2 linked regions of the Arabidopsis thaliana genome follow. The protein of the gene in region 1 purifies or fractionates together with the protein of each later gene. This does not show direct contact. Each region holds a gene or a part of one and is shown in the gene's direction. Other genes may lie near its edges.

What was found.
Region 2: the proteins of AT1G33810 (region 1) and AT1G16790 fractionate together in Arabidopsis thaliana (co-fractionation; one large-scale study listed by BioGRID). This does not show direct contact.

What each region holds. Positions count from the first base shown.
Region 1 is NC_003070.9:12,262,225-12,269,180, forward strand, and holds AT1G33810 (zinc finger/BTB domain protein), read left to right. Parts: upstream 1-2,717; 5' UTR 2,718-2,859; coding exon 2,860-3,087; intron 3,088-4,066; coding exon 4,067-4,181; intron 4,182-4,357; coding exon 4,358-4,431; 3' UTR 4,432-4,696; downstream 4,697-6,956. Other genes in the region: GXMT1 (glucuronoxylan 4-O-methyltransferase-like protein (DUF579)), read left to right, coding at 1-232; AT1G33811 (GDSL-like Lipase/Acylhydrolase superfamily protein), read left to right, coding at 5,694-5,842, 5,928-6,031, 6,338-6,462, 6,566-6,814, 6,904-6,956.
Region 2 is NC_003070.9:5,741,583-5,747,364, forward strand, and holds AT1G16790 (ribosomal protein-like protein), read left to right. Parts: upstream 1-2,752; 5' UTR 2,753-3,055; coding exon 3,056-3,490; 3' UTR 3,491-3,677; downstream 3,678-5,782. Other genes in the region: VHP2;2 (Inorganic H pyrophosphatase family protein), read right to left, coding at 90-210, 306-478, 853-985, 1,055-1,202, 1,288-1,439, 1,544-1,747, 1,889-1,987; AT1G16800 (P-loop containing nucleoside triphosphate hydrolases superfamily protein), read right to left, coding at 3,941-3,963, 4,077-5,125, 5,216-5,454, 5,619-5,744.

The sequences.
Region 1 (6,956 bases):
GATGAGTGCTATTTACACGGCGGGGCTTTTGGCTCGTAACCGTGAAGATGGTGAAACTGACGTTTTTGTTCACGACGTTAACCGTCCGGTGGAAGATGAGTTCTCGGCGACTTTCTTGTGTAAAGGTTATATGAGGGAGCAAAATGGGAGACTTAGACATTTTACTATTCCTAGTCATCGGGCTCGTGCTGGACGACCTTTTTGTCCGGTGGAAGTTGATCGCCGCCGTTAATTTTGTGGTGGGAGATTTATTTAGTTCACCGTCGTTGGTCGGTCAACGGACTCAGGGCTGGTAAATTGTTTTACCTAGTGGACATTGAAGGACTTGCTTAGCTGGCATTTTGTATTTGTTTTGTTTTGTTTTTGCTTGATTTAAATACGTTTTTCAAGATTTTAGTGCATTTACTGAAATCGATACATACTAGTATTCGCATGATTATTTGTGATTTCATTATCCCTTTTGATTAATGAATACAAATAAGGAATTTATCTGAACTGATAATTGGTCATAAGGTCATTGGTAGAATTTGTCAAATTAGGGTGTTTAAAGGTAAATCAAAGCCAAAATATGAGGCTAAATGAGTAACGGACTCAGTCTAAAGGAAAAAAAAATGAAAAAAAAATGAAAAAAAAAACTCATGTTCAGATCGAACCGATTTGTTTAAATCTCGGTTCGGTTCAGAATATCATGTCTACTATATACAGTACTAGTGCTTGTGCTCCAAGATACAAAAAGGATAACAAAACAGAAGTTTTGATAAAATTCAACAACAAAACATAGAGAATCTTTCGATTGAAAAACTCAATTGATTAAGGTATTGTTCGTTTGATCAGTTGACTGATTCATCTAGGTGCAGATGACAACTGATGTTTGTTTGGACACAATTTGGTAGAACAGTTGGATGCATCAGTTAGCTGAGTTTATTAAACTCATCCAAAAAATTCAAAAATTTCAGCTGAGTTTGATCGGTGCATTGAGATGCATCAGCTGCAGTCAAAAACAGCAAATGACTAAAATACACCTTTAAAAATTGAAGAACTACAAAAAGCCATTTCTTACCCTACGGTTCTCGACAATTCTGGACAAAGAAGAAAAAGAGATCTTTAGGATTCTTCACTTCCCTTTATCTCTCACTCTTCGATCTGCTTCTCCATTAGCGTTAGCTCTCGATCTTCTTTTCCATTAGCGCTAGCTCGGTTCTAGGTATACATATCTCTCTCTTTATTTTTGATTCTTACTTGTAATATATTTCGGGGTTTAATACTAGAGAATTGTTTAACCGCAAGCACTCTGATTTGCGTTCGATAATTGAGCGAACATTTGGAGTCTGGAAGGCTAAGTGGAGGATATTGGATCGCAAACACCCTTAATATGAGTTGAAAAAGTGGGTGAAACTTGTGACAACAACTATGACTCTCCATAATGTTATCAGAGATTCATGTCAAGAGGATGCAGATTTTGTACATTGAGAAGCAGTGGAAGAATATGAACATCATGATGATGAAGTAGTAGAGAATGATGAAGTAGAAGACAATGTTCCAAACACAGATCATGTACTGTACGTACCGGTTGGTGATAGAGTGATGAAAGATGTACGTGATTCTATCACCGAAAAGATAGTTAGAAGATATCGACTTTTATATTAGTGGTTATTGTAGACAAAAAAATATTGTGTTTACAATGATGTATTTCTGTTTTATATTCCTCATTGTTTTTTTATGTGCCTTCTTTTAACTTTAATTAATGAATATTTTTGAACAAAACTAATTTGTAAATTTTTAATTTAGTACCATATTTTCTTACAATTTTTTTTAGTGTTTTCCTAATTTTAATAAAAGAATAATACATTTACATCATAAAAATAAGACTAAGATAAATATATGTCTTTTTTAGTCATTTGATACACTATGCATTCAGATGCAGATGTACATAATTAAAAAATAATTCAAACGAACACATCTGCATTCAGATGATTCATCCAAATGCACTACCAACTTCAGGATTGAACATCATCCAAATGATGCATCTGAATGGATCTTCTGGATGGATCACCCAGATGCACTACCTAACTGATCAAACGAACAGCACCTATATGCGATATCACATGTCGTTCTGTTGTGGCCCTCATTACTAGTTACCACAACGCCTAGGTAAACTCTAAAATTGTGAGAAAATAATGTTTGAAAGTAAATTTTTAAAAATTTTGAAAGTAAACTTTTAAATTAAAATATTATTAAAAAATAATAATAAAATAATATTTAGTTTTACGAGGAGTGCTGAGATGGGTTGATTTGAATACGAGACGGTATAACACGGATGAAATCTTAAAATTAACGATTATACAAGCTTGACACTAAACAGAAGAAATACAAGCTTAAATTTATTTGTCCATTATTAACTAAAAAATCGATTCACAATATAAAAAAAAATTAATAGATAGCATATAATATTAGTTTTGTCTCAAGCGTCACTCGAACCAACGACCTCTAAATTTCGCTTACGAGATTACGGATTTCTGTCCAGAATTTCTGGTATTAAAAAAAAGAAACATTTTAATACACAATTAAATTCATAAAATATCAAATAATTACCACGGGCCCACGGCCCACGGGGTGATCCTAGTTAGTATTATGCAGAAATTGATATCCCGTTTGGTAATACATCTCACTCGATAACCAAACATGACATTTGATAAATCACTAATCAGGCTTTTTCAATTTGGGCTTGTTTGTTTACTTTATGCCTAAACTCATATCTTGTTTAGTAACAAGTTTAACTCTGCAACCAAACAGCATCTTTAAGGTCTTATCTCACATATAAACCAACCCCACACACGAAGAACTCAGGATTGGCTAACAATGGCGAAGAAGAAGGAACTGTTATCAAAAGCACCGTGGAGAGGCGACGACGAAGATGATTCCGATAAGTTTAGCAACGCAAAGCTTAAAGTCACAAAGGATTCTGATGGTATGTCGAAGATGCACGTCCCTAGCCGCGGAACCAAAAAAGGAAGTCTCGCTGATGATGATGATGATTCACTTGAGATTGATCCTCAGCTTCGTTACAGCTTCAATCGCAACTATCAGGTCTACCCTTCTCTCATTACTGTAATTCTAGGTTTCATATAGTGAATTTGCTCCTCTCTGCTCTGTTCTTAGGAAATTGTGAAATTACTAGTAAATTGTGGCAATCTTTCTTCTGTCATTTGTTCACACATCTTTAGATTATTGGGTATTGGAGAAATGTGAAAAAGATTTTATCTTTTATGTTTCTGCACCACTTTGGTACTGTTCTGTGTCTTAAGATATTGAAAGCTTATGTGAAGCTTGAGAAGAAGTAATTTTAGCTGCAAAGAATGGATTTTTAGCTCTCTCTGTTACATAAAGCTTTGATTTTTAACACATTGTATCCAGTTTTAGTTTTGAATGAATTGGAAAATTCTGCAATGGTTGATACACTTGCTTGGTGTCTATACATCATTCAAATTCGAAATCTTGAGCCTTTTGCACATTGGATAGAATCTCAGATAGCAGATTCACATTTGTTAAAGAACTATACCGTAACTGTAAAACTGGTTTAAAGGGATCTTTGTATTTTCACATGTATTGGTTTCGTTATTGGGTGGTATACTTTCCTGTAAACACTCTGTGTAGTTCGATGTAGACCTACTTCCCCTTCGACTATAGTATATTTATTAGTTCTGGAAATCGTATGAATAGTTGGTTAGTCAGTTATGTAAATTCCTCTACTATTGTTCATGGTCACATTGGCCATAGACTACTTAGTGATTTAGTATCTTGGTTAAGGAGGTACTTTATAGCCTCTGCTTTGTTATATAGTCATGTTGTTATAATCCTTGGGTATGGAACAACTTGAATCATGACACATTGCATGCATCTCGAACCGTCTTTACACAGAAACATGTTTTATGCATTCACAAAGTGTTCACATACAAGCGATTTTTGAATACCATTGATTTCCTTTCGATAGATTGTAACATGTGTTTATATTTTTATATTGTTAAAACGCTTTTCCTAAGCTGTAAAGTCTGCTTCTCTATTACAGTTCCTGCAAAGTGTATTCACTATAGACACTTTGGTGAAGCCTCTTCCTCCTTCAATGGCATTCAATGTCTCTCGCAACTTGAGCTTCTTCACCCGCATTTTCACTCAATTCTTTGGTGAGCATTATTTTTCGAATACCTTGTTAATGCAACGGATTATATAGTCAAATGTTTTCTTGTCGTACGGTAAAAGTTGTGATGACATCCTCAGTGTTTTAAAACCTTATACTCCTCAATGACCCTTGATTTATTGTCTTGGTATGCGGTTTTAACGGTTGATATGGTTAATGCAGATCCTGAAGGCATTGCAAATGCACAGAAGTCTCTAGGGTTGGGGCAGGAAGAGAAAGCTCGCCGTGTTCGTTGAAATATGACCATATTTCAATCTTGTGAATGGACCCAGCACTGTTAGATTGATTAAAATATGTCCTCAAAGAGATGTTTTGTATGAATTTTCCTAAGTACAATGAAATTTCCAAGTTCCATTTTAGCACTAGGCTTCCCTGTTTCCATCAACATAAACTACTTACTTTGATTCAAACCCAAACTTGGTTCCATATGTGATGCCTCACCTGTTTAAAGATACATCTGTTAACTCTGGATGAGAGTTCACGCTCTTACACCAAACCAACCTTTAAATCTTAGTTGCCATTCTCTTTAACCTCTTCTAGGTATGAAAAAGTAATGTGGTATTTAGAACTTATTAGTTGGAGAACAATTTTTCTGTTCTTGTAAGTATGTAATATTGTGATTTTACACGACAATTTTTAAAGCTAAAAACTAAGAGCCAAGAAAAATACTATGTTTTCTTCAGAAAATAAAATAAAAAATGCTATGTCTTTGTCTAGGATAATGATCTTGGGATGGAACTAAAGAAATTTTGTGAAATGCTAGTTCAGTTTTTATAGTTGTACAAAGAAGTAGAGTAATTGGTGATTAGTTATATGTTTCTTAACTTCTACTCATATCTATGTTTTACTACTATACATATGAGTTCGGAGTATGCTATATCTACTCGATAACTAGGCTTATGCGAGGACTTCACATCACCAAAAAATTGGGTCCTTCTTAGTGGCAAACATCTAGTTTACATTTAATTGCTTCATATCACCAAGAAAGCAGTAAAAAAAAATGCTCGATCATAATCTTCCACAATTGCAGATATGAATAAAAATACTATTTTTCCAGTGTGGGAAAGTTTTGGAATTCTAAAACTTGAAACTTTACAATTAATAACAATTACATACGTATCTTAGTTTTTGCCTAGAATAGTTTTTACTGTCCTCGAGTACTGTTCCAACTGTTACAAAAATAGCCTTTGTGACTTGTGACACAAACAACTGGAAAGCAACACATTAGACTCTGAGACCCTCACGAGACTGCATGCATGAGACACTTGTGAATATAGCCGCAGCTAAAAAGAAGTTTGGTAAGAGAGAGAAAGATAGAGAATTAAAATAGAAAAACCAACTGTCACAAAATTATCAACACATGAAACCAATTATAACATACCGAACCAAACCAACCAACTACATTTCCTCATTATATAACTATGAACTCCACTCAAATCAATTTTCAATCTCATTCTTCTTAAAAACCATTACAATTATTTCACTAAATTATAACTTAATGGGCATTCTCCGTTTTGTATTGTTGATTAGTTTGAATCTGGTTTTGTTTGGTTTTAAAACGACCGTGTCACAGCCACAACAACAGGCACAAGTCCCATGTTTATTCATCTTCGGTGACTCTTTAGTCGACAATGGAAACAACAATAGGTTTAACCTTGCATTCTTTTCTCTGTATTAATATGATTTTTTATGTGTTACACAAATTCATAGTAATTTGTATTATTATGTGTAGGTTGCTTTCTCTTGCGAGGGCTAATTACCGACCTTATGGCATTGACTTTCCCCAAGGTACAACGGGACGGTTCACCAACGGTCGCACCTACGTTGATGCACTAGGTATATTTGTCGGCGAATTTTATATGTACCGAGCGCTTTGTAAAATTCTTCTTGTACATATATACCAACGTGTTTAATTAGAAAATATTTTAGATAACGTTTATTATTTCAATACAAGTCATACTATGTCAACTTTTTTGGGACCTAAAACTTTTAAACAAATTCTAAATATTGTCATTGGTCCTCTGTGCAAAATGTTCCCTTTTACACATGCCTAGAACTAACTAGAAACGGTCTTACAATTCTAAACACAATGCAAACACTGACAATTTGTTTACTAATGAGTTAACACATTTTTTTTTGTAGCTCAAATTCTTGGATTTAGGAACTATATTCCACCATATTCCAGGATTCGTGGCCAGGCTATACTTAGAGGTGCGAATTTCGCATCTGGTGCAGCTGGCATTAGAGATGAGACCGGTGACAACTTGGTAGACGCACTATTTTTTTTTTTTGATCCATCGCCAAAAAATTTAAAACACCATCAATCCTATTGTAAGCCTTAACCGAATTCTATTACAAATATTTTTGTAGGGTGCACATACTTCTATGAACCAGCAGGTAGAGCTATACACGACCGCGGTTCAACAGATGCTTCGATACTTCAGAGGAGACACAAATGAGCTCCAGAGATACTTAAGCCGTTGTATCTTTTACTCGGGAATGGGAAGTAACGATTATCTCAACAATTACTTCATGCCTGACTTTTACTCAACCAGTACCAATTACAATGACAAAACCTTTGCTGAGTCTCTGATAAAGAACTACACACAACAGCTCACGGTAAGGGTTGATCAGTAAGACAATAATGCATATATCTATCTCAATAGATTTTCTATATCTTGATTCTTTTTTTTTTCTTTTTTTCGTAGCGATTGTACCAATTTGGAGCTCGGAAAGTGATTGTGACTGGAGTGGGACAGAT
Region 2 (5,782 bases), 6.5 Mb from region 1:
TTGACCACAGTATAACTAGCCTTGCAATTTTATTGCTAAAAATACCAACAGTACAACTCTTTAAAATAAAATCAAGATGCCTCGCAAACCTTCAATTTTGCACTTCTGAGCCATTGTACCCCCAAGTATCATTGCACTGATGATTTCTGCAGCTATACTTTCAAATAAATCAGCACCTCGAGCAGCGCAGTCCCCAACATTGTCTCCAACCTGCAAGAAGATGAGAGTGAAGCTTCAGTGATGACAAAAGGTTCCAGGCCCGACAAAATCATACACAAAGGATCGTGAAATGAAAGAACTAATACCAAATCAGCTATAACTGCAGGGTTCCGAGGGTCATCCTCAGGAATACCGTGCTCAACTTTCCCGACCAGATCTGCCCCGACATCAGCTCCCTTAGTATATATTCCACCACCCAACTGAGCAAATAAGGCAACAAATGATGCACCAAAACCATATCCCACAAGAAGAAGAGGCACTGTAAGAAAAATGGGAAAGTCAAATCATTAAGCTAAAAAGTAACACTAGTACATGCAAATGCAATTTCGGGTTTGCAAACGTTAAACATTTGAGAACAACATCAAAAAAGTTTGCATTCCGGTTCTACAGATGAAGACTCGACCCATGCTGTTGCTTCTTTAGCAAATAGCCATTTCTTGAAATTCAGCAAAACGGATTCCTCAAACCCATATATGTACCAACTTGGTATAAGAAGATACTGTTTGTGATTAAATTTGAATCTCTGAAAATAAACATGAACTCAGCGCACTGATGCATAGAATATAGCTGGTTACTATAGAATGGCCAAACATAAAAGGAAAGATATCCAGAGAACAGGAAGCTATGACTTACGATCAGTAACCTTCATTGAGCCAGGTGAATCCACGTCCAACCATACATAAAATGTAGAATACAGGATGGCAATACCAATCACAGCCATACCAACAACAACCAGAGCTGAGAATCCACCAGCACGAACAGCTATCTGCATTAAATCCATCACTTAGTATTTGGCCATGTGTACAGGAATTCCTATTAATACTAAAAAACAAACCTGCAATGCTTCCCTTGCGGATCGTCTAGCAGCACTGGAAACCCGTACATTAGCACGAACTGACACCCACATTCCAACATATCCAGCAATACCTGAACATAGCGCACCCAAAAGAAATGCAGCAACAGTAATGTATGCAGACATTGTCCTGAAGCACAAAGTTATACATTTGAGTTTTATTTATAACAACACAAAAGATAAAAGAAAAGATTCTGTAGAAGATGTATGATCACCTTCCTAAACCAGAAGCCTCTTGCTGGGGGGTTAAGTTACGGAACAAGTATATGCAAAGGATCACAAAAGCTAGCAAGAACGCCATTTTGGATATAGTACCATACTGCGTTCTTAAAAATCCTTCAGCTCCATCACGTATAGCATCTGATATCTAAACAGAAAAGAATAAGCTCATAGCACAGAACTGAAAATGCAACTGAGTAACAAAGAAGACACAATCACGAATAGAACAAATTAAAACTTGTGTGAAATTACCTGAACCATTTCTGGAGGTCCTTCATCTTTGGCTAATACCCACTTGGTCAGGTATACTGACAACATGAAACTGATGATGCATACTACAAAGACGAACACAATGATGGGAGAAGTACGTGCTCCCATGTAAAAGATCCCTCCAAAGCTCAAAAGCAGAAGTACAGAAAGGGCACGAACATTTAAATTTCTCAGAATGCGGATTATCTGCACAAAACAACTCATTATAAAGATACCAAAAGAAATAGAAATAAAACCAGATATAACACCAATACATATTTGTATAAATATGACGGTGTTTAGATGCAAGAAAGATATGCTCGAGAGAGAAGGGTATTATGTCCTAACCAATGGACTGTAAGTTTTACTACGCATATCCGGGAAGGTCCTTGGCTTGTCACTGTAAGAAACCAGAGTGGCCTGCTCAACATCTTCATCCATCATCATGTTTTGTAACGAATTTGCCCTCCGAACAAGGGGAAGAGGTATAAAACCCGTGCTACGGGGCAGCTCAGCCCCAGAACTTGGACGCTGAATCTTGATACGCTACAAAAGACCCTCCAAAGGTTTACCACAGCATAACAAGAGAACTAATCGTAACCCACAAAGTCTGACTATATCTTGATCAGCTTCTTCACACTTTCTCACTCGGTATTGACTCCGAGAGAAACACCTCCCATATATAGTTTTCAGCATAAGAGAAGATTCTGAAATAAAACTGACAAGAATTAAGCCCCGGAAAATTTCTCTGTATTAATCGGACACCATGAAATTCTACTGTAAGATTTAGCTAGACTTATCGAACACCAACATTTTGTAGATAAACCAATCAGATCTAAATTCTCACTATCATGATCTAAACGAAAACGAAAACGTAAACGACAGAGAATTAGCGAAATTGTAGGCAAAATAACAGATACGAATAATATTTGTTTCCGAAATGCGAGTAAGAAAACCCCTAAATCGGCGAAACAGTGAAGACAAATTACAGTTTCAGAGAATGGTCAGAAGAAAACCGCCATCAACTCGAAGCTTGTCGTCCTAGCCGAAGAAGCGTTCTCCACTCTCTCTGTCTGTTGTCACCGTAAATCCTAACACTTCAGAGGTTAGTTTACACTCTTTTGTTAATTTATTTCTCATGCCGGGTTAATTGGACAATCCTGACTAATGAGTTTTTGACACGTCATCACAAGGAGCATTTTTTCTTAATAAGCCCCACTTAATAATATAGATTTTAATAATTTCCTCCTAAGTATTGTTTTTAGGCGCATTAGGCAATATTGTTGTTATGCTATCATTTTACCATATTAAAGGAGATTACTAGTTTCACAGTATTCGTGGGCCCAAGCCCAACAGACAGTCCATGAAGAAAAATTACCCAAAGTTGATTTTTAAAATATAAATAAAATCAAATAATTATCTTCCGTCTCATCTTCCAACCCAGGAGCTGTACTTTAGAAAATTTCCCAGATAAGAGATTCAAATTCTGTACTTGTATACCCGGCGGAGCAGAAGATGAAGCAACCGGCGACACCAAACGCGGCGGAGGAAACCAAATCAGAACAAAAGCAGAAATCGAAGAAATTCCCAACTCCGACGGAACTAATCTCTCACTACCAGAAACGAGGGCTGGAACCAGCAGAAGCTTCAATAAAGGTCATCGAAGATTTACAAAACGCGCTCGTCCGAGTAGTTTCGTCCTCCAGAAACGCCTCGAGCAAGGATAAGCTTGTAACCGACGCGAGGAAAATCGACGCCATTAACGGGAGGCTTGCCGTCGTCGACGCGAAGCTGGAGACGAAACCTGGATACGTTGAGACTTTCGCGTTAGGGTTAGCTTCTGGTGCGACACTTAACGGAATTAGCGCCGTTTGGCCTCACGTTACCAGAGGCATTGGTCAAATTTGGTCCGCCGTTAGGATCGGGACGGATCCTTCATCTACCTCTTGAATTGTTAGAAAGGAAAATTCTAGGTTGATATGGTTTCTTATGAGTTTTTTTCCGGTGTTGTATTTAGTGAAATTTGAGTATCAGCGACTTCAATCTTTGTACTGTTGAACAATAATCTCATTAGAAAATTATCCCAATTAATTTTGCTCTAAAACAAAGAAAAGACAATTTGTTAAACAGTTTTTATCATAATGGCATGATAATATATACACAGCAAAATAAAATTTCATAGCAGGCAACTTTCAACAAAATATTGCAATTTGAGTTGCCAACACTAAGTTAGCCAAAATTTTCTCCTAGTGCTAGTTTCAGAGTTAGAACATGAGAGAACCTATGATGAATGACGCCAGAGGAAACTATAAAACTTACCCATGAAACCGGAAATTAACAACTGGTTCACGATTGTGGGAAATAACCTTTGTGAAATCAGTTGTTTGTTTGTTATCTTTGTTAACTGTTGTTCTTGGTTGACTCTGCAAATAAGAAGAGTGTAAGTGAAATTCAACATTAAGACATACTAATTTACAATTGCATATCAGCTTCTGAGGAAGAACATAAAGAGGTTCGATATGTAATGAAATCTTACCTTTGATCGCCTTAGGTGGTCTTGTATGACTGCCGGCGGTTGAACCTGGGGACAATGGTCGCTTTGGAGGTTTAGGCTTATGTGAAGGAATCAGAGACGAATTGAGAATGGCAGCAACAGCTTCACGCTGCTGCTTTCGTTTGGATATCATATCTTCAACACCTCCTTGATTAGAAGCATTGCCCTTGTTTATTTGCCTATCTTGCTGTCCAATTTTATCTGTGGGATTTGCCCTCTTGCTACTGTCAAGCTTTGATGAAGCCTTCTTAGATTTCTTCCATTCATTTGAATTTTCGTTCTTCGAACTATTTGCATCTGTAATCTCTGGATTACTGCTTTTCTCTCTGCCTTTCATTTTTTCTTTCTTTTCATGGCTCCGTCTCAGAGTCTCTTCGGATGTTACTTTCTCACAGCTTGCAACTAGTTTTTCCCTTTGAGATGAAGCTTCTTCTTTCGCATTTCGTCTGGTGTGCTTACTCTCTGATCCTTTTGATGAGATAGGCACAACATCTCCATCAGTTTTCCTCAGTTTTCTATCAGAAGATGTCTCTGCTCTCTGTTCTTTGCGGCGTGAATGCTGTTTATCAGGCTTAGGAAAATTCTTTGGAAGATTCTCAGAATGGTTTTGTTCCATCACATTCTCACCAAACATGTAGTTGTACGGTCGCTTAACTGGTATGATGACTTCTCTTTCTTTTGCATCTTTCACAAGAGCACCCCAGTTATGGTCTCTTTGCAAGGTTCGTGTGTTACCCAAAACCCAAAGGGAGAGTTTGGCTCTAGTGAGAGCAACATTCATGCGTCTAACATCTGCAACAAAACCAATCCGACTTTGATTGACCCCATCAGGAGCCGAATGTGTAGCTCTTACAGTGGATAATACTAATATGTCAACTTCTTTGCCTTGAAAGCCATCCACAGTATTCATTTCCATATCTGCTGTTACTTGAGCCCCAAATGCACCAGTGAAACGCGAACGCAAAACGGCAAGCTGACGCTTGTAAGGGGTTATAATGCCAATCCTTCCAGCAACAAATTCTGAGGGGTACCTGTAAGCATCAAGATAGCAAGTGAGTAAAATAATATCATATAACTCTCTAAAACATGTGTGAATAGATAGCTTAAGAATGATTAATGACCTCTTCTTGAAAAATCTAAGCAGTTGAACAGCAGCTTCAGCTTCTTGTTCATTGCATACGGAGCTAGAATCGCCACTTCGATGCTCTTGGCCATCAACAATATCATAGAAAACATATGGTCCAAGATGATGGTTCTCGTGGAATGGTGCTGATTTACTTGACATGTCAACACCATTTAGTAACTTATTGTCGTAGAAATGCATAGACGGGAATCGACAAATTTCTGGATGCATCCTATACTGTAAGCAAAGAATACGTTAGCCAAACTTCTAGAAACAGATATAATTTTATAATTTAAAACAAACTTTCCATCATTTTATTAACACAAAAAAAGAGAACATAATGTGAATGAATAACTTCCAAATCAGATCTGAAGGCCAGAAAATTCTAATAATCAGTGTACCTGCTGGGTAAGCATAAGGATAGGGTACCCAGCCCTTTGCAGACGTTCAAACATGCTACATTCGTACAAAAATTTACTTGCAACGTTAGAGAGCACAGTTGCTGGAAGCTGCTTTGGGTCTCCAACCTGTAATAATAAGCAATGTTATTAAATAAAACTGCGGA